2 linked regions of the Rhinolophus ferrumequinum genome follow. Each later gene encodes a partner of the first gene's protein in a complex. Links are inferred from orthologs where the notes say so. Each region holds a gene or a part of one and is shown in the gene's direction. Other genes may lie near its edges.

Region 1 (10,504 bases):
GAGAAGCCCAGCAGTCACCCCGGCTACCTCCTCCTTTCACAGGTGGGGAACTCCCAGAGGGACGTGGAAACTGTCGTGGGCCCCTCCACTGCTCAGGGTCACAGTCAGATCCGACCGCATCTGCCACAGCGGCCACTGTCACCTCGGTGTGTGCTTTTGTGTTCTCTAACCCTGTGACAGGAATGCTGTATCAGGAGCCGATCCTGCCCAGCAGCCAGGAATTCACACCTAGGAGGACGAGACGGGTGCTCTGGGCACAGACCTGTGCTGCTGCTGAGCACCGCACGCTTCATGAGTCAGCTTCACACCCACTGAGAGCTCGGGTTCCATAGTTACGAAGAATGCTGGAAAACCTGTGACACACCGTAATTGCTATATTTTCAATGTAATTGTCATATGATTTTTATCTGGGAGGTTAACTCAACAGTACCAATTTTATCGCTGGCCTCTTTATTTTCATAGCTAATGGATCTTTCTACGGGGAATCAGAATTTGGCCGAAATGAAAGCATCTTATTAGGTTCTTGATTCTCCTTATTGGAAAATTCATTGAACCGATCATGTGAAAAGGGAATTTGAGGTGAAATGCCTGTCACCTTGGAGTCTGTGACAGAGAAGGGAAGGAAGGATAGGCACACACTGTAGTAGTCAGAACAGGTCATGTTATAGCACAGAAACAAATAAGCCCTGAAATGTCAGTGATGTAACAGTTAGAGGTGGGTTGTCACTGATGCAAAGTCCACCGTACGTAGGTTGTCCTAGTGTCGCCTACTGGCAGCCACGCCATCTGGAACGTGTGCCTTCCAAAGTTGCTGCATCAGAGGACGATGGAGGGGAGGGAGACGCATACCGGGCCTGGATTGCATCAGCCGGGAAGTGGAACACAACGCCGTCGCTTCCTGCTCAGGGTGCACTGGCCAGACCCAGCCGCGCGTCGCTAATTAACTGCAAGGGAAACCAGGGAGTGAAGACACACATTCATCCAGTAACCCCACCAGCGAGCGGATCTACCACAGGCAGGGCCCCCGGATTTCAGGAAAGCAAGTACTGAAACGCTCCAAGTATGTATTTGCAAAGAAACAGATCCATAGGTGCCTTGATAAAAGAAAGACGGGAAGGAAATGCACTGCAATGATAACAGTGAATGCCCCTAGGCACTCAAGTGTTTGTGGGTTTTATTTTCTTCTTTATATTTTTATATTTCCCTAGCAATATTAAATAAATGTTTGAGAATCCAAAAAAATGTAATTTTTTGAATTGAGAAACAAGTTCAGACCAGAAATAATTACGACTCCAATGAGGAAAATGACTCAAAAGGAAAGGGAATTTCTTTAAAACGCACTTCTGATTAGATGAGCACAATTAGCCAGCAAAAACAAAAGTGAGAGATGGGCCCAGACATGCCGCTTACATACAGGAAGCTCTCTGGTGAGATCGGATTTTTACAGCATGTCTGTACAAGACGGAGAGGAGGGCACAGGGCCAGGCCAAGGCAGAGGGGCACAGCCCTAGGAACCACTGCCTCAAGAGACGAAAGGGAATTTAACCAAAACACGCAAATTAGGAAACAAATGAGCTAAGGCAGAGAGGGGATCCACTCCAGGCCACAGCACTCGGATCTCTGCTCTCCGAGGCCCAGAGCACGTGCCCAAAGTGCCTCCAAAGTGAAATGGGCAAAGGCCTTGGTGGGGTCTACATAGGCCCTGCCCACCTGGCTCTCGCCCTCCTCCAGACCTCACCTCCTACCCCTCAGTCCCTCCCTCTCTGGGCGACAGACTCGTGCCCTACGTTCATTAATCTGACCCCACGACCTGTGCTCAGCCTGGATCATTCCCTCTTCCTTCCCCAAGGAAGCCCCCACTCCCAGTTTCAGAGGAGCCCCTCTGTCAGATGCCCTCCCCACTCTCACCTCGGTGTGTGCTTTTTTGTTTTTTAATTTTTTTAGATAATTTTTTTAGTTTCCAATTATAGTTGACATTCAATATTATATTAGTCTCAGGTGTACAGCATAGTGATGTACAACATTTATATAACTTATGAAGTGATCATCCTGCAAAGTCTAGCACCCATCTGACACCATACATACCGTGCTTCCCCGAAAATGAGACCTAACCGGAAAACAAGCCCTAGCATGATTTTTCAGGATGACATCCCCTGCACTTAAGGCCTAAAGCATCTTTTGGAGCAAAACTTAATATGAGACCCGGTCTTATTCAGGGGGAAACACAAACACAGGAGCTATTACAATATTATTGACTGCAGTGCTTGAGCTATCCCCTCCATCCCCATGACGACTGTGTAACTACCAAAGTGTACTTCTGAATCCCTTCCCTTCTTCACCCAGGCCCCCAACACCCCTCCCATCTGGTAACCATCGAATGCTCTTTGTATCTATGAGTTTGTTTCTGTTTTGCTTGTCCGTTTATTTTGTTCTTTATTTCACATATAAGTGAGATCCTATGGCATTTGTCTTTCTCTGTCTGACTTACTTTACTCAGTACAATACCCTCCAGGTCCATCCATGTTGTTGCAAATGGCAAGATTTCATTCTTTTTTTGGGTGAAAACTATTCCATCGTACATACGTACCACCTTTTCTTTATCTATCCATATATTGAGGGGCACTTAGGTTGCCTCCACATCTTGGCCGTTGTAAACAATGCTGCAATGAACATACGGATGCACACATCCCCTCGAAGTAGCATCTGGGTTTCTTCAGATAAATACCCAAAAATGGGATTACTGGGTCCTTCTTTGTCTCTTGTTATGTATAGCCTTTGTTTCAAAGTCTATTTTGTCTGGTGTAACTATTGCTACCCCAGCTTTTTTTTTTTTCAATTCCCTTTTCATGCGATATCTTTTTCCATCCCTTTACTTTCAGTCTGTGTGTGTCTTTCGATCTGAAGTGAGTCTCTTGTAGGCAGCATATGTAAGTGTCTCGTTTTCTTATCCATTCAGCCACCCTATGTTTTTTGACTGGAGCACTTAATCTATTCACATTGAAAGTAATTGTTATAGATATGTCATTATTGCCATTTTTTAATTCATATTTCTTAAGTTTTTTCTTCTTCTTAACGAAGTCCCTTTTATGCTTCTTGCAGTACTGGTTTGGTGGTGATGAATCCTTCAGTGCTTCCTTGTCTGGGAGCAGCACGTGCTTACCTACTTCACTGTCAGCTCCCAGGAGAGTGGGAACCATGGCCAGTTTGGCTCACTGAATGGGCTTTCATGCTCTTTAGCTCCTTTTTTACTTATGGGTGAGAAGCCATGGGAGAGATTATTTCTTCACCTTTTTACTGAAGAGCCAGTGTCTCTAGGAAGGAGGACATTTTGAACTAGAAATCAAGTACAGTGAGTTTTCATTTTTTGGCTCCCATTCTCATATGAGCTCTCCATGGGACCTTAGGACCTTTTTACTTCTCTCTGAGCCAGTGTGCTCTTTTATAAAGTAAGAGTTTAATCTAGATGGCATCTGAGGTGCCTCCTTCTCCAACACAGCATCCTCTGGAAGACTAGCAAGACAAAGACTCTGGCGTCTGAATCCCATTTCGGCCACTTGGTCATCTTGTGCCCTTAGGTAGATGGCTTAATCCCTCCATCCAGACTTCCTCTTCTGTGAAGTGTGGTGAGAATGCTAGCTCACAGATCTGATAGAGGATTAAACAACATGACATACTACCCTGTGTCCCCGAAAATAAGACCGAGCCGGACCATCGGCTCTAATGTGTCTTTTGTAGCAAAAATTAATATAAGACCCGGTATTATATTATATTAGGCTCCTCACCTAACCACCTCAGCATCCTCAGCGGTGAATGGGACAGAAAGCACTTTGTCTCGTCCGAGAAGCGAGGCGTCAGCGACACAGTGCAGGGGACAGCTCTGAACTGTGAAGCCGTTTCCAAGGAAAAGCATCCACAAGGGTCTTTGGACCCAAGACCTCCGTGGTAACAGATTCCACTCACCCACCAGCACACACCTCATTTCGCACATCCACTCACCTGCCAGAACACACCTCATCTCACACATCCAATGCTGTGAATCATGAAAGAAAAATACTGACGCCTAGTAAAATGCCCACCACTGAATAAGTGCACAATCATTTCTTCTGAATGATTTAGGTAAAAATGACTCAAGAAGGGTTTTCGAGGCCTCCTGAGAGTCAACAGGTGGGCGCATGAAGCCACCCAAAGTCCCTGTCGCAGGACAGCCCCAAACCCCTAGGGGCTCCAGTGGAGAGCCACCTGGTCCATTCCTCTCTCCGTTCCCTGGAGAATGGTGGCCTGGTGCTGAGGCTTCCTCACAAGTCCACGTTGGTTCACACTCACAGAATAGTAGGCTCCCCCAAACCAAGCAAGGACCCCTCACCCACATTGCTCTTCCTTTAGAAACCATTTCCGGGTGGACGGGTGGTTCAATTGGTTAGAGCGCGAGCTCTGGGTAACAGGGCTGTCTGTTCGATTCTCACATGGGCCAGCAAGCTGCACCCTCCGCAACTAGAATGAAGTCAATGAGCTGCCACTCAGCTCCCCGGTGGCCAGATGGCTCAGTTGGTTGGAGCGCAGGCTCTCAACCACAAAGTTGCCAGTTCGACTCCCCCTGCAACTAGCAACGGCAACTGGACCTGGAGCTGAGCTGCGCCCTCCACAACTAAGACTGAAAGGACAACAACTTGCCTTGGAAAAGTCCTGGAAGTACACACTGCTCCCCAATGAAGTCCTGTTCCCCTTCCCTCCCGCCCCCCAAAAAACAAAAAAACAAATCCAAAAAAAACTATTTCCAAGAAGGTTACATGAAGGACAAAGTTAGGTAAGACCCCCAGACTCAGTTGTCTGTCTAGAAAAACATTTCAAACTCTCCTTGAAAAATTCCACTACCACACTGGGGAATTCTCTACAGCAGAGATGTGCCAATGGGCGAGATGGGTGTTGCCTCTGGTGGTGGAACCAACGGTATTTTCCCAGATTACCAAAGAGGTGCTACATCTCCTTTTCAGAAGCTAAACATCCTCACAGTTTCAACAGAGGCCTTCACCTGAAATGTCCTCCCTGTTGAAGTCTCAAACCAATAGTTTCATACGACCTATTTTTCCTTCAGTGAAACGAGGTGTTACAGTGATGACGATACAGGTTCCCAAGTGCGGAAGCCATCATTAGTGCTGGTAGTATTTTTGTTTACTTGCACCCCTCTCCATCACACCCCTCGTTCACAATGAGCTCTGCAACTGCTTCTCAGTAATAGTCCTCACAAGACCTCCGGGAGGCAGCATGACCAGCGCTAACACTTCTGTGTTGCCTGAAGGGGAAGCACAGACGTGAAGAGCTGGTTGCCATCACCGTCCATACAGTGATCGCACTGACACCAAGCTCTGCCCCCATCTGGCCCTACGTCCACGATGCCAGCTCTCTCTGTGGCCCTTGTCTTTGATGACTGAAACAGCAGATCTATAACCAGAGGACCTGGGCTGGGCACAGAATCAGAATTGGAGACTTTGTGCCTTGGATAGACCTTAATGACCATCTACCCAAATCCACTGTTTTGCTGGACAGGACCAGAGAAAACACTTTACCCAACTCACACAGGCCATTTACTCCCAGTCCGGTGCGTTTGGGCTTTTCATACCATGTTGCCATGCTTCACCTTTCTTCCTCCACGCTCTTCCATCAGTTTCCGTTGGTTAAAATTTACATGGCTTCAACTCCAACCAAGAAAACTGAAACATTTACATGCTGAGTCTGGTGTTCTACCACCTGACCTGGGCTGGCCTCAGAATGCTGAAAAAGTCTGATGCAGTGTCCTATTTTGAGTCCCTTCCTTTCCCCCCAAACTCTGTCCTTGAAGCTAGCCACTGGCTGCGGCGGGGCTCGGCCCACCCTCCATGAGTCTGCAGCTACCCTCACACACCTGGGGTCTGTCCTGGGGTTCTGGTGGAGGGACACTTAGCTGTAACATGGCCAGGGCAGAGAGCTCTCTCCTAAGCTGTCCCTTTGTAGGAAGTGGGTTGACGGGCTGCAGAGGAGCAAAAGGATGAGAACTTGTGTGGCTGACATCACTTTCCTGTCCTCTAACCTGCCCCGAGCAGGAGGTTGTCCCCACACTGATTGATTTATGCTTCTTCAAGCAAACCCACACCTTAGCTGCCAAGTACCTATCAATTCATACTTAGTTGTGGGGGCCATAAACAAATTAAGCCAAAACTCAAACTACAGCTCCTAAGCTGCTCTCCAACCCTAGTACCCATAGTTCTGATTTTAGCAGTTCTCCTTCCTCTCTCACCATATATTTTTAGAAACTTGTTACATTTCCTGCTTCTCTTCCCTTTCTCTAAAACTGTGTTTATAACTGTTTAGAGCAAAACAATAAATAAATGAACCAAGTCAGAAACTGCAGGAATATCTGCAAATAACATTATCAAGTTTATAATCTGTCATTTGGCCAGTATAAGGTTGAATGAACGTAAAAGAAATGCAAATCAGGATCCTTCCCTGTAAATTCCCATGACGCACCCTGGCCACACCCACTGCACAGAAGACAAAAGGCCCAGGAGCGGAGGCAGCCGCTTCTTCCAGCAGAGCCGACTCACCTCCCGGAACCGGAGTCGGCAAAGGTACTGTCCTGGTCACATTTTGGCTTTTAAAATATTTTTTGTTTCTCTCCTTGACTGTTATCTCTCAAACTGCCTTCTCTGAAGCTAAAGCCTCTTCCCTCCTGGTTCTGTGTGTGAGTTAGAATCACAATCGGATTTCAGAAAATGATCCTTCCTCTTGGTGGGAACTGAGGGACGGGGAACTGCTTCCACAGGTGGCCGGTGGTGCAGCCAAGCCTTCCCTCAGAGGGAACTCCACTTCCAAAAACTGCCGAGAGAAAACTGGAACTTCCCAAGTCTGCCTCTCTCTTGCATCTGAGTGAGGCAAATGCCTCCTTCTTGTGGGGTTTTTGAACTTAGCCAAACTTGACTGAGTGCCTACTGTGTGGGCACTAAGGGATACCAAAATTCTAAAAGAAACGTACAGTCTGCTAGAGGAGGCAGACACCTATGCAAATGGTTCAAGGGAGTGAAAAGAATGGGGAACATGCTGAATGTGGTTATGCCATGAGTTAAGTTGCCCAAGAAGCACAAAGCAGAGGTGGTTCCCCTCATAGGTGTCTGGTTCAGAGGTCATCAAGGCTGACAGCCGCTGGTGTTCTCCGTTGCAGAAGTCAAGATGGCCAAGGTCCCCGACCTCTTTGAAGACCTGAAGAACTGTTACAGGTAGGAAATGGACTGTGATCTGATGAGGGGACCCAGGCTCATTAGAACCCACCCAGCGAGGAGGTGCAGTGACCAGCATGGGGCCAGACCGGCAGACGCTATAGAGATGGTCCCACCTCCAAAGTCAGAGCAGGCTCAGCAAAGGCTTAGGGAAGCCAAGCATCCAGCATGTTAAACGGATGTGACGTTGACAGGAAGACGGCCATTACCAAAAACGTGTTTTTTAAGGCCTGCTGAGTCCTAGCGAATTTCAGCGTCTATTCATACACAGCCTGGGCTGGGTCACATGCTCGGTCTGGTACAGTAAGGGGTTCTAAAGGCCTCTTAGAGAGAGACCACCCTCAGGAAACTCCTTGCTCTCAATCTGGAGAGGAAAATGGCTCCACAGCAATCCGAGCACGCGGGAGCTCATACACACTCAAACCTAGTCAGATGTAAGAGGAACGTAAGTGAATAAAAGGTGTAAATTATAAAACACTTTCAACAACATGTTCTCATTACCTGCTTTACCTGCTAATATGCACTAACACACGCTCGGCCATCCAAGTGTTGTTTGGGTGTTTTGCCAGGTATAAATTACTAAATCCATTTTAGTGAGTACATGAAAGCAATGAGTAATGTAGTCTATTTGGTCAGAATTTAAATAAGGTGCTTCGGCAGAACTTTTCTCTTGAGGAGCTGAAATCCAATTACAACTCCTGTTTGTAAGCCAAGCACTGTTTCTGTTGATAAAGCACAGGTAAAGTTCAAGGCCTGTCCTGAAGGTGACTAATTCCAGGTCAGCGAGGTACAGATTACTCTATGTACGTATGTACAGAAGTCGTTCATTTTCAAAGATGGCAGGAGTGTCCGTGTGTGCACACACGTGTCCCAAAGCTAATGAGGTTATTAAAATACATTGCCTGGTGGCCATTGTGATCTAACAGAATGACATTCTCATCATCTTGTTTGACAGTGAAAATGAAGAATACAGTTGCGAAATTGACCAGCTCGCTCTGAATCAGGTAAGCAAATGGCTGCTTCTTAGGGTGGCTGTTCTGACAGTCATATTTTCTCCACGGGAGGACAGCAGCTATGGCTTCAGTCCCATAGGCCTCTGCTGTGCCATCTCGAGATGTCCGGAGACATGCATGTCTTCATTATAAGTGAGGCAGACAGGGCTGATGGCATTCTCCACACTTGCCGGATTTTCCCAGAATAGAGCACAACTACCCTGCACCCCAAGGACTGGAGTCTCCCTGCTTCATCAGATGCTAGTTTGCCACCCTGAGACAGAGCCTTCGGGCCACTTCTCCAGGGGTCTGTCACCTAAAGATATGTTCTGGTCATCCTCTCCGATGCCAGCTCCAGACATCAGAGACAACCCTCCAACGTAACAGCCCAGGAAGCCGAGGTGGACCAAGCAGGCCACTCACAAGTACTCCTATGTGTCTTTGGTACTGGCTCTAAAAGCCATTCCCAGAGGAGTATTTCTAACATGTCTGAGCCCTGTCCTAAGCCTAACTTCCTAAGGGGGAACTATTGGAGAGTCTCAATGTTAGCCTGTTTCACTGTATCTCATTTTTGAGTCTGCAGATAAATGACAAAGACTGGCCAAGAGATGGTATCCTTCCAGGGAAATGCTAGGAGGGAGGAGGAGGGGATGACTGAAGAAAGGTGGGTAGCCGAGACCCCACTGGCGATCCTTCTCACTATGCCCGTTGAATAAAACTCCCACAAAAGGAGTCTCATCCTATAGCCACAGACAGCCTCTCAGTCTCCACCTCCCTTCCTCACAGAAATCCTTCTACGACGCAAGCTATGACACACTTCATGAGGACTGCATGGGTAAATTTACATCTCTGAGTACCAAGGAGACCTCTAAGACTTCCCAGTTTACCTTCAAGGAGAGCGTGGTGGTGGTGGCAGGCAATGGGAAAGTTCTGAAGAAGAGACGGCTGAGTTTCAACAAGGTCCCCACTGATGACGAGCTGGAAGCTGTTGCCAATGACCCAGAAGAAGGTAAGGGGCCATGTGCCGTGATATCCTTGTTTGCCATTTTTAAGCAAATGGGCACAATAGAGTAGAAGGGCAAATAAAACCTAGAATCAGGGTGACAGGGCAGCCAGGCATTAGTCTAGTAACTATCAGGAAGGAAAATTAATTTCTATGCTGCAATGGGGAGAAAGCAGCCTGGCCTGGGTCTAAGATACTTGCTCACATGCTCATTTCACGGCCATACTGTAAAGGTCATGTGACTTCGAGCCCTTCAGCAGGAAATGGTTACACACTGTTGGCGGGTGACACTGACAAGCCATGTTGCTTCTCATGCTAACTGTGCCTCATTGGGAAAGTTACTGACCTTTCTGTGCTTCAGTTTCCTCTACTGAAAAATGCACACGATCAGAGCCCCCTACCTGTTGTGAAGATTAAATGTGTGAATTCCCGCAAGCTCCTGGACTAAAATAATGCCTGGCATGTAGCAAGTACCCAGTAAACGGCAGCTATCATTGTTGCATGACTACCATTGTTGCTACCACGTGTTAATGGTACCAGCACCACCAGTTTACTAATGGCCGCATTATCTTCACAACAACCACTGCCACCAAGAGCTTAGCAGTGCCCACACGATGGCCCACTCCTCAGTCTTTCCCGCATGTGTAGCACTGTTAGGCTCATATGTACCCAATCTGTGTCTAGCTTTACTCACTTAGCAGCATATTGGGGTCATTAGAGTGCCAGTTTTCAGTACCATAAGCCATGTGACAGAGACCATCCAAACCGATGAACCTTCATTTCTACCACCACATCGTTTCTTACAATGGCCTCCTAGAAGCAGTGATGCAGAGCTGGGGGATGCGTGAGGCTGTGGGTGCCTCCAGCATTCAGAGGGGCGGTGGGCACAGAGACCTGCTCCCTCAGGGACACACACAGTTCCCCACATGTTCGCTTCTTGTCTCAGAGCGCTTTCCTTTCAACGTAGGTAGGGTCAGCAGCAGTCTCCCCAGTTACTTAGAGTCCTCCAAACAACCAAAATGACAAAGTTGCACAAATAATCTCTTTCGGCGTCCAGGTCTAAAGAGAATGTTCCTACGGGAATGACCCTGGAGCTGGCTCTCCTGCTTCTGGGTGACTTCACCTGTTCCCTCACCTGCGTGGCCCATTCCTAATGTTCCTTCCACAGCTACCCCCGTGCTGCCTACAGCACATGTCACCAGCATCAGCCCCCAGACATTAATCTGAGCTTGTGCTAATGGTTGCAGAAATCATCCAGCCCA
Region 2 (10,185 bases), on another chromosome or scaffold:
GGGAGATGGACGGGGAGGTGTATGGAGATGGATGGCGCCCAGTTAGAGCCAAGGGGGGGGTGATTGATTGGGGAGCAGGAGGCAGAGCTGAGCAAGAGGGAGTGCTACATCTAATTAGGGGACTCTTCTGCTGCCTTCCTCGAAACTGACAAACACTGCGGCCTCCTGCTGCCTATACAGTAAGCCCCTCAACGAGGCAGAGTTAGAAACACCCATTTATCATATGTTGAGCGCCTACAATGGACAAGCGCTACACTAGGAGCTTTATAAGCACTGTCTCGTTTAATTCTAACACAAATAGCATGAAGTAGGTTGCATTATTCCCGTTCTAGAGAAGAAACAAAGAGACAGTTGGTGGTTAAATAATGTGTCCAAAGTCACACAGCTAGAGTGAGCGTGGCTGCGCCCAAGCTTGAGCCCAGGTCTAATAAAACCTCAGAAGCTGAAGGCTTCTCCTTCAGCCTGTTTTTCTGCATCCTTCCCTGCAGTCGAAACTACTGAGTGTGCTCCATACTCTTCTTTCTGCCGTGCTTTTATTCACGCAAACGCCTCCACCCAAAATGTCTACTTTCATCCTAAGCATCTTCCATTGGAAACCTATGGCTCAAGTGTCGCCTCTGTGGAGAAGCCATCCCACTTCAGTCAGGTTAATGTTCTCCCAGAATCCTTCCTGGCACCTCTGTTAAGGCTCTGTGTGCTTCCTGGTGTCCAAAATTTACTTTCAAGGGTCAATCTTCCCTTTCCAGACTGTGAGCCTTGTTATGGCTGTATCTACGCAGGTCCTGGTCCTTGACAGATGATCACTAACTCGGGGCATTTTGGCTTGAACCAGGAGTAGGGGAGCCTGGAAAAACCCAGGAGAGAAGCCTGGGACGGGAAGGAGATGGTTGGGCTGAGCTGGGGTGAGCTGGGGAAAGGGCAGGGAGGGGCCCCCGGTGCCCCCCAGCCCTTGCCCGCTCCACCCAATCCCCCCACCCTGTACTCACATCCAGGAAGCCGGAGAGCTCCGTCTGCAGCAGCTCTTTCAGCTCCTTCTTGCTCAGCTTATACTTGTCCCCTTCCTTGCCCGAGTGGGTGTGGAACACGTTGATGAGAGTTTCCATCGCCGTCTCCAGCTCAGACCCCATCTCGAAGCTCACCTATGCACCCCCCACCATGGAAGTGAGCAGGGGACCATGCTCAGGATATCTGGGGTTGGGGTGAAGGGAGCCCTCAGGCCTGGTCCTGGTCCCACAGCCCAAATAGCCATGAGATTGGAGCTCCATCACAATGTACCTCTCAGTGGGACCCTAAAATGTAGGGGAACCCAAACAGATCTAAGTCCAGACCTGTTCTGTGTGTCCCTCCATCCAAACCCCCGCCAGAGGGAGTCAGAGTTTGGGGCATGGAGGGGGAACAGCTGGAGCAGGGCTGGCTCTAGAGGCCTGCGTGGACCCTGCAGTGTCTCCTGGCTGGCTGCACAGATACTGACGAGGGTGTGGCAGGCAGGCAGGCAGGCAGGGGTGGTCACAGGACCCAGCCAGGCTTCCTCTGGCTCTATTTTTACCCTGAACCTTGCCTGCCTAGCATAGCCAAGCTCTGCGGTTGGAGGTGGTGGGCTGGGCTCCTGTCTACAGACTTGACTCTGTTGCCCACTCCTGGCAAGGAGTCAGTCTGGTGCCCTTGGTCAGCCTGATGGAGAGGGTGGCAGCCTGAGTGGGCGGCCCAAGGGTCGTGGGAAGGAAGTCTCATTGCCTCTGAGCTTCCTGTCAGCAGATGGGGCATCTTTTGGTCCCTCAACTCTGTTCTCTCCTGAGCATGGCACTTCCCGGGGGTATGTCTCTAGCTTGGTTCCTCTTACTTTTCCACAGAGTTAGCCCTTCCATGGGGTGGTGGTGGGAAGGGACAGGAATGTCTGAGACTTTTCCCTGGAGCCAGAGCTTCTAGGGAGGGGAAGAGGAGACCCATGAGGACTTGTCACTGCTAGTAGCTACTCCCACCCTCCAGGCCCAGTCTGGTTGGAGTGGGGACAGTGGCAGCAGGGAGAACGGGGTTGGTATGTATTGGGGGAGATAAAGGGCCGAGTGCATTAGGTCCTCTGAGTTCAAGGGGCTGGGAGACAGGGGGAGAAAAATGGAGGGGTCTGTTGAGGAGAGGGGACTGCCAAGCCAGGGGGCCTCTTTCTCTCTGTCTTGGGACATTCAGCCCGACCACGGCCTCAGGGGGCAGCTCAGGTGTCTTAGATCAGGTGTCCCCATCCTTCCCTAGGCCTGAGGGGCTGGACAATGGGCCCTGATCAGATGACATCCCAGCTCTTCAATGGGGCCCTTGTGAGTGTCACCTGAACTCCGGACATGAGACGTGGTTGTCACAGAGACATGGGGGAGATGGAACCCAAGCCGGGGCTGATGGAGGGGATAAGGGGCCTGAGAGGGAGGGGCCTGGTGGCTCAGTTACCGGCCCCATCCAGGACGGGCACCTGGGGGTTGCCTGGAGCTCGCCAGCAGCCAAGCATTTCATGTGGGGGCAATCCTGAGAGGACCTCGGCAGGGAGGGGGCGGGTGGGAAAACAAAGAGGAAAGAAAGAGGAAAAGAGGAGTCTGGAGGTCTGGGCCAAGAAAGGGGAGGAGGAGAAAGGGAGAGTTGGGAGTGGGTACCACACCCGAGTGCCCCTCTTCCTGATGTCACATGGCCCATGCTCTACCAGACGTCCCTGGGCCCTGAGCTCTTGGCAAGGCTGGGTGGGGGAGGCAGAGCAGCTGCTCCATTTGTCCTCTCCAGCTTATCCCACCGGAAGTGAGCCAAGCGCTGGGACCCCTCCCCAGCTCCTGGGAGATTGAGGGAGGCTTGAGAGGGCACTGGAGGGCTTCGTGGTAGGAGAGCCTGATCTGGAAGCTTGGTGGCTGGGCTCCTCATTGGCTTCCTCATTCTCTGAGTTTCTAGATCTCTCTTTGACCTTCACTTGTCTCCCCTCACCACTTTCTAAACCCTGTCTCCCCCAAATCCCATACTGCTGTCACTCGAACTCATCCCAACCCTCAGTATACCACAATGCCATCGTCCCCAGATTCTTGGAGCCCCGCTGAAGTCCCTTTTCCCCCAGGCTGGCCAGGGCAGGATGGGGTGGCATACTCACTGTCAGCCTGGGCCTGAGGTGGGAGCAGGTTCTGGACAGACAGACGAGGCTGCAAATGTGGCTCCCAGAGCTGTGTGTGGAGACCTGTCTTCAGCCGTCCTTCCCCCGCTGACCCCCCTCCCCACTGGCTCCACCCCTTCACAGATAGACACCCAGTGGGGCAAGGGGCCAGGAGTGGACAGAGGCGCCCTCTGTCTCCTGGGCTGGAACAAGCTGCCCTGTGTCCTCTTCTCCAGCCTCGGTTGCCTCCCCCCTACTGCTGGGCCCCAACAGGCAGGCCCTGGAGGAAGGGAGGTGGGAAAGGTCCTGGGAAGGGCACTGAGACACCCCTTACCCCCGCAGTACCCGGTTGTGGCCAGCTAGGCAGGGAGGGCTGGAGGCCGCTGGGAGCTCTCCGTGAATAATTCGATCTTGGGAGTCACCCTCCGAAGTTTCAGTGTGAGACCCCACTGAGGGATTTCAATCCAGGGTACCCTCGATGGGGAGGTAGATAAAAAAGGGGCCACAGACTGAACCCGACACGCTCAGGGGAGGCTGCATGGCAGGCTGTACAAACTCAGAGACAGGGAGTAACCACACAGGATGGTCGGAACATCAAAATTCCTAACTAAAAGCTTGTCATGGCAGGTAGTCCCATCCTAGGCCTGTAGCTTTCTTGATAGAGGTTAATCTTTACCTTAAGGGAGCCTGACTATTTCCTTTTTGTATCTAAGATAACATAGTTACTGACATTACTTTAAAATGTCAGAGTAATCTCCTTTTCCATACCCCCAGGGCACAACCTCCTACAGAGAGCACAGACCATAGAACCCTTCACTGTTACCTTGTCCTTCCCACACACACACACACATGCCATCTCCATGTGCTGTAAATGTTACTAACTATCCTGCACCCACAATGTGAAAGAACTGTGTGTCTCTCCCTTTTACTTTTTATCCAATCCCAGAGGTCCCCGCCCCCTTTGCCTTCTCCCGGCTCCCTAATCTACTGCCCATGGATTCCATGTAACCCCCTCCGTCTCCTCCTTGGATTCTAATGTATGAAATCAGCTGCAAAAAAGCCATTCTCGGGAACATTTTCTCAATCCGTTGAGATTTTGCCTCCTCCAGGTGATTGTCATCAGTTTGGTTCAGTTAAACTCATAAAAATGCTCTACAGGTTTGGAAATTTCTATGTCAACAGGGGTCTCGGTCTGATTCCCGTATTTGCGGGGTCTTGGTTTGGGATCCTCTGAAGGGGTCTTGGGCTTCAGGGTCCTTTGAGAGATCTCGTTCAGCGATGTGGTGTTTCTTAGCTTGGGCTTCTCAGTCCTGAGTGAGCTCCTGCAGTTGGTTCTTTCAATCAATCTGCAGTCACCTCCCGCAGGGCCCCCCTCCCCCCCACCCCCGCTCCCCCACCCCCGCTCCCAACATACACACTCCTGATTACATGTTGGGGTGTGGTGGGGCAGAGGCTCCCCATATTGGGGGGGATAGGACCCTCGGCCCTGGCTGAGTGGAATCTGGCAGCTTCAGGCAGATCCCCACCCTCACCTCCCGACCAAGTGGGGGCACCTGTGGGCTGGGCTGAGGGGCTGGGGTCCCAGGCGGGTTTCTGGGCGCTGGGAGCTGGGCGGGAGGGGGGCGCCAGGCGTGATTGGACGTCTCCTCCCTCCACAATCAACCAGGAAACTTGAAACCTCCGAGCTTGGGAGGGGCCCTGGCCTCTCCGCCCAGCGCTTATAAACCTCAGCCCCGCGGCAACCTCGTGTTGCACCCCGTCTCTGTGACTTCCCCTGGTGAGTCGTGTCCCCCTAATTCTGGGGGGAACCCGGGGAGCCCTTTTCCTCCCTGGACTCCCAGGTCCCGCCCCTGGAGCCAGCTCAGACTGGGATTCAGAAAGTAGCTTGGGGAGATCAGACCGCAGTCCCCGGGGGAGTAAGGTGGGGGTGTGGTGGGGGGAGGCAGAAAACGGAGGATGAGTTGGCATGTCCCTTTCCTCCAGCCTGTCCCCTGGGGCTGTGTGTGCCGGGACCAAGCCCTTTCTGGGTGCCGAGTGCCGGCTGTCAGCAAGGCCCAACCAGGACCCCTGGCTCGGGGAGACAGGGGCGGGAGGTCTGCAGGATCCTGGGCTCAGCACCGGCCCTGCGGGGAGGGAAGCGGAGAAGGACCACCGGGAGGCTGGATCTGTCAGACAGAGCCAGCCTTGACCACGGCTGGGCCTTTGCCAGACCAGGGCTGCTCTCCTGGGAGGAGCAGGCGGGTGGAGACCCAGGTCCCCACACAAACAAGCTTTGGAGACAAACAACCTCCTGACCTTTTGAGGCTCGGTGAGATTCCAAGCAAGGGCCCTGTGGCTGAACCCTACAGAGGGGCCAGGAGACTGAGAGGCTTCCTAACGGGACCCTCAGATTGAAAACCTCCTCCCGGACAGAGGGGTCTCCAGACTGAGGGACCATCACAGAGGGGTCCCTAAGACATAGGCATTTCAAAAGGACCCCTAGATTGTGAGATCTAGAGAGGAAGGGGTTTCTGGAATGAACACTCCTTCCGTCACCTGCACTGAGGTACTCCCTGCCCCAAGCTTCATCCCTGTCCGCTTGTTCCTTCTCCATAAAGCCTCTGCCTTCTCCAGGCAGAAGCCAGAGATAGCAACCCAGGGCAGGGGCACTCTGGCCTGTCCTGAGTCTCCCTTTCTCTCCTCCCCTCTCCCTCCCACCAGTCAGCCCGTGAGGACATCAGCTCCACCCTAATGGCAGCAGAGCCACTGACTGAGCTGGAGACGGCCATCGAGACAGTGGTCACCACCTTCTTCACCTTTGCAGGACGGGAGGGCCGTAAAGGCAGCCTCAGCATCAATGAGTTTAAGGAACTGGCCACTCAACAGTTGCCTCACCTGCTCAAGGTAGGTGGGGGCCTCTGGGCCCGAGATTTTAGGAGACAGTGGCTGTGGGACATTGTGTACGTGACGTGATATTGCTGGGCACGATAATGTGACCACAGATGTGTTGTGGAGAAAGGTGTGGGTGGCTGCATGTGTAAGTGGTTCTGGGCGTTCTTGCCAAGTGTGTGTGTGTGCGTCTCGGTAACAGTGTCCGTGTGAGGGGAAGTGTTATGGGGCTTTGTGCTGCATCAGATAATGCTGCAGGGTTCCTGTGTCTGCGCTGTGCCTCTCTGATCTCATTTGCCTCACAGAGGACTGGACCCAGAGCTGGCTTCCCGGACCGTCAGAGCTAGACGGAGGCCGAGAGAAAACATATCCACATTCCTCATTTCACACATAAGGAAACTGAGGCCCCGCTGTGGGAAGGGATTTGTTAAAAATAAAAACAGAGCCACATTTATGGAGTCAGGATCTCAGGGTGGGAGGGACCTGTAAGTGATCCGTGGTTACTTCCCACCCTCTCTGGGAATCCCCTCAATGCGCCTGGCTGGGTCCCCCCGTCTCTCCTCAGGGGACGGAGTAGGGATTTAAATTTTATCCACTTTGGGTTGGGCATCATCCCAGGCGGCTAACAGTTTCTTTTACATCCTTCCTGAAAATTCACAGGCACATAAAAGTGTGTGAAGATGGGTTTAAAAACAAAAAACAAGTGTCTCTGAAACTCACAGTTTTTTTTTTTTTTTTTGAAACTCATAGTCTTTCATCAGCAAAATCCCCTCCTCCTTAGGCTTCCCTGACTTTTCCCATCCTCTCCTCACAGGAAACGCCAGGCTCTCTCCTGGAGGTACAGCACTCCCAGTAGCCTTGCCAAATAGTGACTGGTTTTGAATAATATTGAATGTCAACTATAATTAAACATATATATGTATGTATAGTCACGGGATGTGGGGTACAGCAGAGGGAATAGTCGATGGAATTGTAACAGCTGTATACGATGGCAGACAGATAGTAAATTGGGGGGTTATCACTTTGTAAGGGGTGCAAATGTCTAACTATTTCATTGTTTTGTACACCTGAAACTAATAGTAATATTAAAATATAGTGGCTGGTTTATCTTCCTCTGTGTGTTGAAATGCAGGAAGTGACCTCTGCGTTTCAGTGCTGCTTCCGGATCTTAGTTTTTTTCTTCTTCCTAAGATGCCCAGCTCCTTGGAAGCTCAGGTACCACCTGCCTTCCTTATAGCTCTTCAGTTCCTGGCTAACTGTTTTCCTTCTCATCACTGCTGCTGTCATTATCCTCAGCATTCCACAGAGACAGCTCAGCCAACACCTGGGCCTTTCAATTTCTTGAGCTCATCACTTCCAAAGATTGTCGCCCTGCATCTCAGGATTCCACTCCTCTGCTCATGCTTCAGATCTTGGTATTACCAAAATAACGCACCTCTTCCAAGATCTCAATTTCTAACTTCCTTTTCTCTGTCTTCCATGTCATTCCAGTTCTGTTCCTCTGTAGGGGAGTGAAAAGGTAAAAATGAATTTTCCTCCTACCTTTCTAAGTTCAGGCTGGAATAATAATCAAATTGACGAGAGACGGATTGACAGGAGAAAATACCCACACTTATTAAGTATGTACACACAGGGGTTCCATAAGAAGATGGGTCCCAAGGACACTGGGCGGTTGAGGCTTACATACCATTCTGGAGCTAAGGCGAAGGTGGTGGGAGTGGTTTGGAACCTAAAAGGGCAGGAAGGCCGTTCCCACAGAGATGGAAGAGCAAATGAATGTCTGCTGGGCCAGCTTTCACATGGGACACAGAGGGGACTTTTACCCAATGGGCCTTGCTCATTTTTTCGCTATCACACACTAGTTCATATTAAGCTATGGTTATCTGTGATGACAGCTCCCTTCCTGAAGCAGGTCCTCTGTCTAAATTCTTCTAGGCAGGTAGAGGGAAGGCCAAAGGTTTTTCCTGAGTCTCGTTTCTTGAAAATAACCAGCTTAGAGTACTCAATATCCATCCCAAAAGGCATATTTTGGGGTGCCAACTCTGCTTCCCTCACCTGTTTCTAGCTCCTCCACTCCAGCATTTTCTTGACTCCCTATTATTTTTTCCATCTTCTATCTTTATGTCTTGTGTTCTCATTTCACCTCTTACTTACCTGGGTTCTAAGGCTCATCATTCATTATAACCACTCCCACAACTCCCTTGATTCTGTTTCTTTCTGTCCTTGTCTTTTGGCACAATCCCAACCCAGCTTAAAGCCAACATTTCACCTCCAGTAACTTGTTGGTTGAATGCACCATTCTGTACCTCCACTTCTAGAGCTGAATCTGGCTGGAGAATAAGGCACCGCCGTGTTCATTTGTCGCACTTTAAATCTATAATCACAAACCCCTCAGCGATGTCTGCCAATTCTACATTTCCCTGGTCGATTCATTTACCAGCTCTTTCAGATGATTATTTCACAACTTTTCCTTTCTCCTCAAACTCTAGTACCTCTTTCCACATCCCTCTCACTGAGAAGGAAGTAAGAGTAATCAGGAAGCTTCTATGTGCTCCTTCACCCAGATCCACCAACACATACCCTGCCTTTCATCCCTGTCTGCTCCCAAGGCCATACCCTTCACTGGTGCCCTGGATCTCATCCCTTCTCACCTACTTAAAGACTTTAACCCTTTTAGTTCTTCCCCCCTCTCTTGCATCATCAAAATTTCCCTTTGTACTGGATTGTTCTGGTCAGTTTCCAAATATGCTGTAATATCTCCCATCTTTAAAAAAAAAAACAAGGAGAAAAAGAAAAGAAAAAAAAAGAAAAACTCCCTTGACCCTGTAACTCCCTCCAGCTATGCCTTATATCTCTGCTTCCCTTTTGTAGCAAAACTTCTCAAAAGCATAGGAGTTATTTATACTGACTGTCTCCACTTTTCCTCTCCGGGTCCAGAATGCTCACCCCTGCCCCTCGTCTAGGTATTTGCTAGGCTTATTCCTCATGTAACTCAACTTTTTGCTCAAATGGCAAATCCTTTGCATGGCCTTCACTACTGAATACAAATATCACCTCCCTGTGCTCTATTCCTTTACCTTACTTTATTTTCTTTCAGAACACCTCAATCACAACTTGACCTCCACTATATACGTATATGTTACCAAGAATGTAACTCCTGTGAGGAAAGGAGTCTGATCACTCTTTTACCTCTACTTAGAGCAGTGTCTGACTCCTAATAGGTGCTCAATAAAATATTGAAGAGTGAGTGAGAGAGTAAAAAAGTTTTAAGAAAAGCATAAATTGTTGAGTGAGAGAATGAATAAATAAATGCATTTTGCCTACTGTTCTATAAATAGTTTTTTAAAAATGTAACAGTTGTTGGGAGGGGAAAATTTCCCATTTCCCTCTCTTAGTTCTTTTGGTTGTTCTAATAATCACATTGACATGAGACAGATTAACAGGAGAAAAATGACCAGATTTAGTTACGTATGTACATACGGGGGGTTCCATAAGATTATGGGGCCCAAGGACAAATCGGGCAGTAAAGCTCAGGTGCCATCTTGAGCTGAAGAGAAAGTGGGGGTTGCAGTTTGGGACTTCAGTGGGAAGGAAAGCAGTTAACATGGAGCTAGAAAAGTAAATGTTTGGTAAATAAATGTTTGCTGGGCCATCTCTAACCATGGGACACAGAGGAATTTTACCCAATGGGCCTTGCTTGGTTCCTCCCTGTCTACCACACACTAATTCATATTAAACTATAGTTATCTATGATGACAGCTCCCTTCCTGGAGCAGGACCTCCATCTAAAATCTTTGAGGCATGTAGGGGAATAGTCAAAGGTTTTTCCTCGGTCTTTTGTTTCTTAAAAATAACCAGCTTAAAATAATCAATATCCCTAAAAAGGCACATTTTGAGGTGGCCGACTCTGCTCCCCCTTACAGAGCATATAGGATATTTTCCCATTAAAAAAAAAAAATGAAGCACTGTATTCCAAGATAGGTTAACACACATTTATGTAGCCTACCCTCTATTGACGGAGTTTTCTCTTATGCCCATTTTCCCCCTTTTGCAAACATCCTTGTTTACATATCTTTACAAACTTGAGGGAAGCTATCTACATAGGTTAAATGCCTGAGAGATGAAATACTGCCTCAAAAGGCGTGTATATTTTTAATTTTATAAATGTTACTAATTTGCCTCCCAACAGGGTTGTACCACAT

Evidence for each region. The genes of interacting proteins can lie anywhere in the genome.
Region 2: the proteins of IL1A (region 1) and S100A13 are in contact, whole or in part, in an NMR structure (PDB 2L5X), measured with the Homo sapiens proteins. The link is inferred for Rhinolophus ferrumequinum from reciprocal best matches to the Homo sapiens genes IL1A and S100A13. Residues at the interface, in NP_000566.3 of Homo sapiens: Asn148, Gln150, Tyr151, Thr194, Ala195, Gln196, Asp197, Leu203, Leu204, Lys205, Glu206, Met207, Gly216, Ser217, Glu218, Thr219, Asn220, His239; in NP_001019381.1 of Homo sapiens: Met1, Arg25, Gln26, Glu27, Gly28, Arg29, Lys30, Asp31, Ser34, Asp68, Ser69, Glu70, Lys72, Phe73.

The regions. Positions count from the first base shown.
Region 1 is NW_022680356.1:81,409-91,912, forward strand, and holds the start of IL1A (interleukin-1 alpha), read left to right. Parts: upstream 1-6,527; 5' UTR 6,528-6,602; intron 6,603-7,192; 5' UTR 7,193-7,200; coding exon 7,201-7,247; intron 7,248-8,202; coding exon 8,203-8,251; intron 8,252-9,025; coding exon 9,026-9,248; intron 9,249-10,489; coding exon 10,490-10,504. UniProt on the Homo sapiens protein: Cytokine constitutively present intracellularly in nearly all resting non-hematopoietic cells that plays an important role in inflammation and bridges the innate and adaptive immune systems.
Region 2 is NC_046305.1:52,554,455-52,564,639, reverse strand, and holds the start of S100A13 (protein S100-A13), read left to right. Parts: upstream 1-5,495; 5' UTR 5,496-5,630; coding exon 5,631-5,660; intron 5,661-5,815; coding exon 5,816-5,998; intron 5,999-10,185. Other genes in the region: S100A1 (protein S100-A1), read right to left, coding at 987-1,127. UniProt on the Homo sapiens protein: Plays a role in the export of proteins that lack a signal peptide and are secreted by an alternative pathway. Binds two calcium ions per subunit. Binds one copper ion. Binding of one copper ion does not interfere with calcium binding.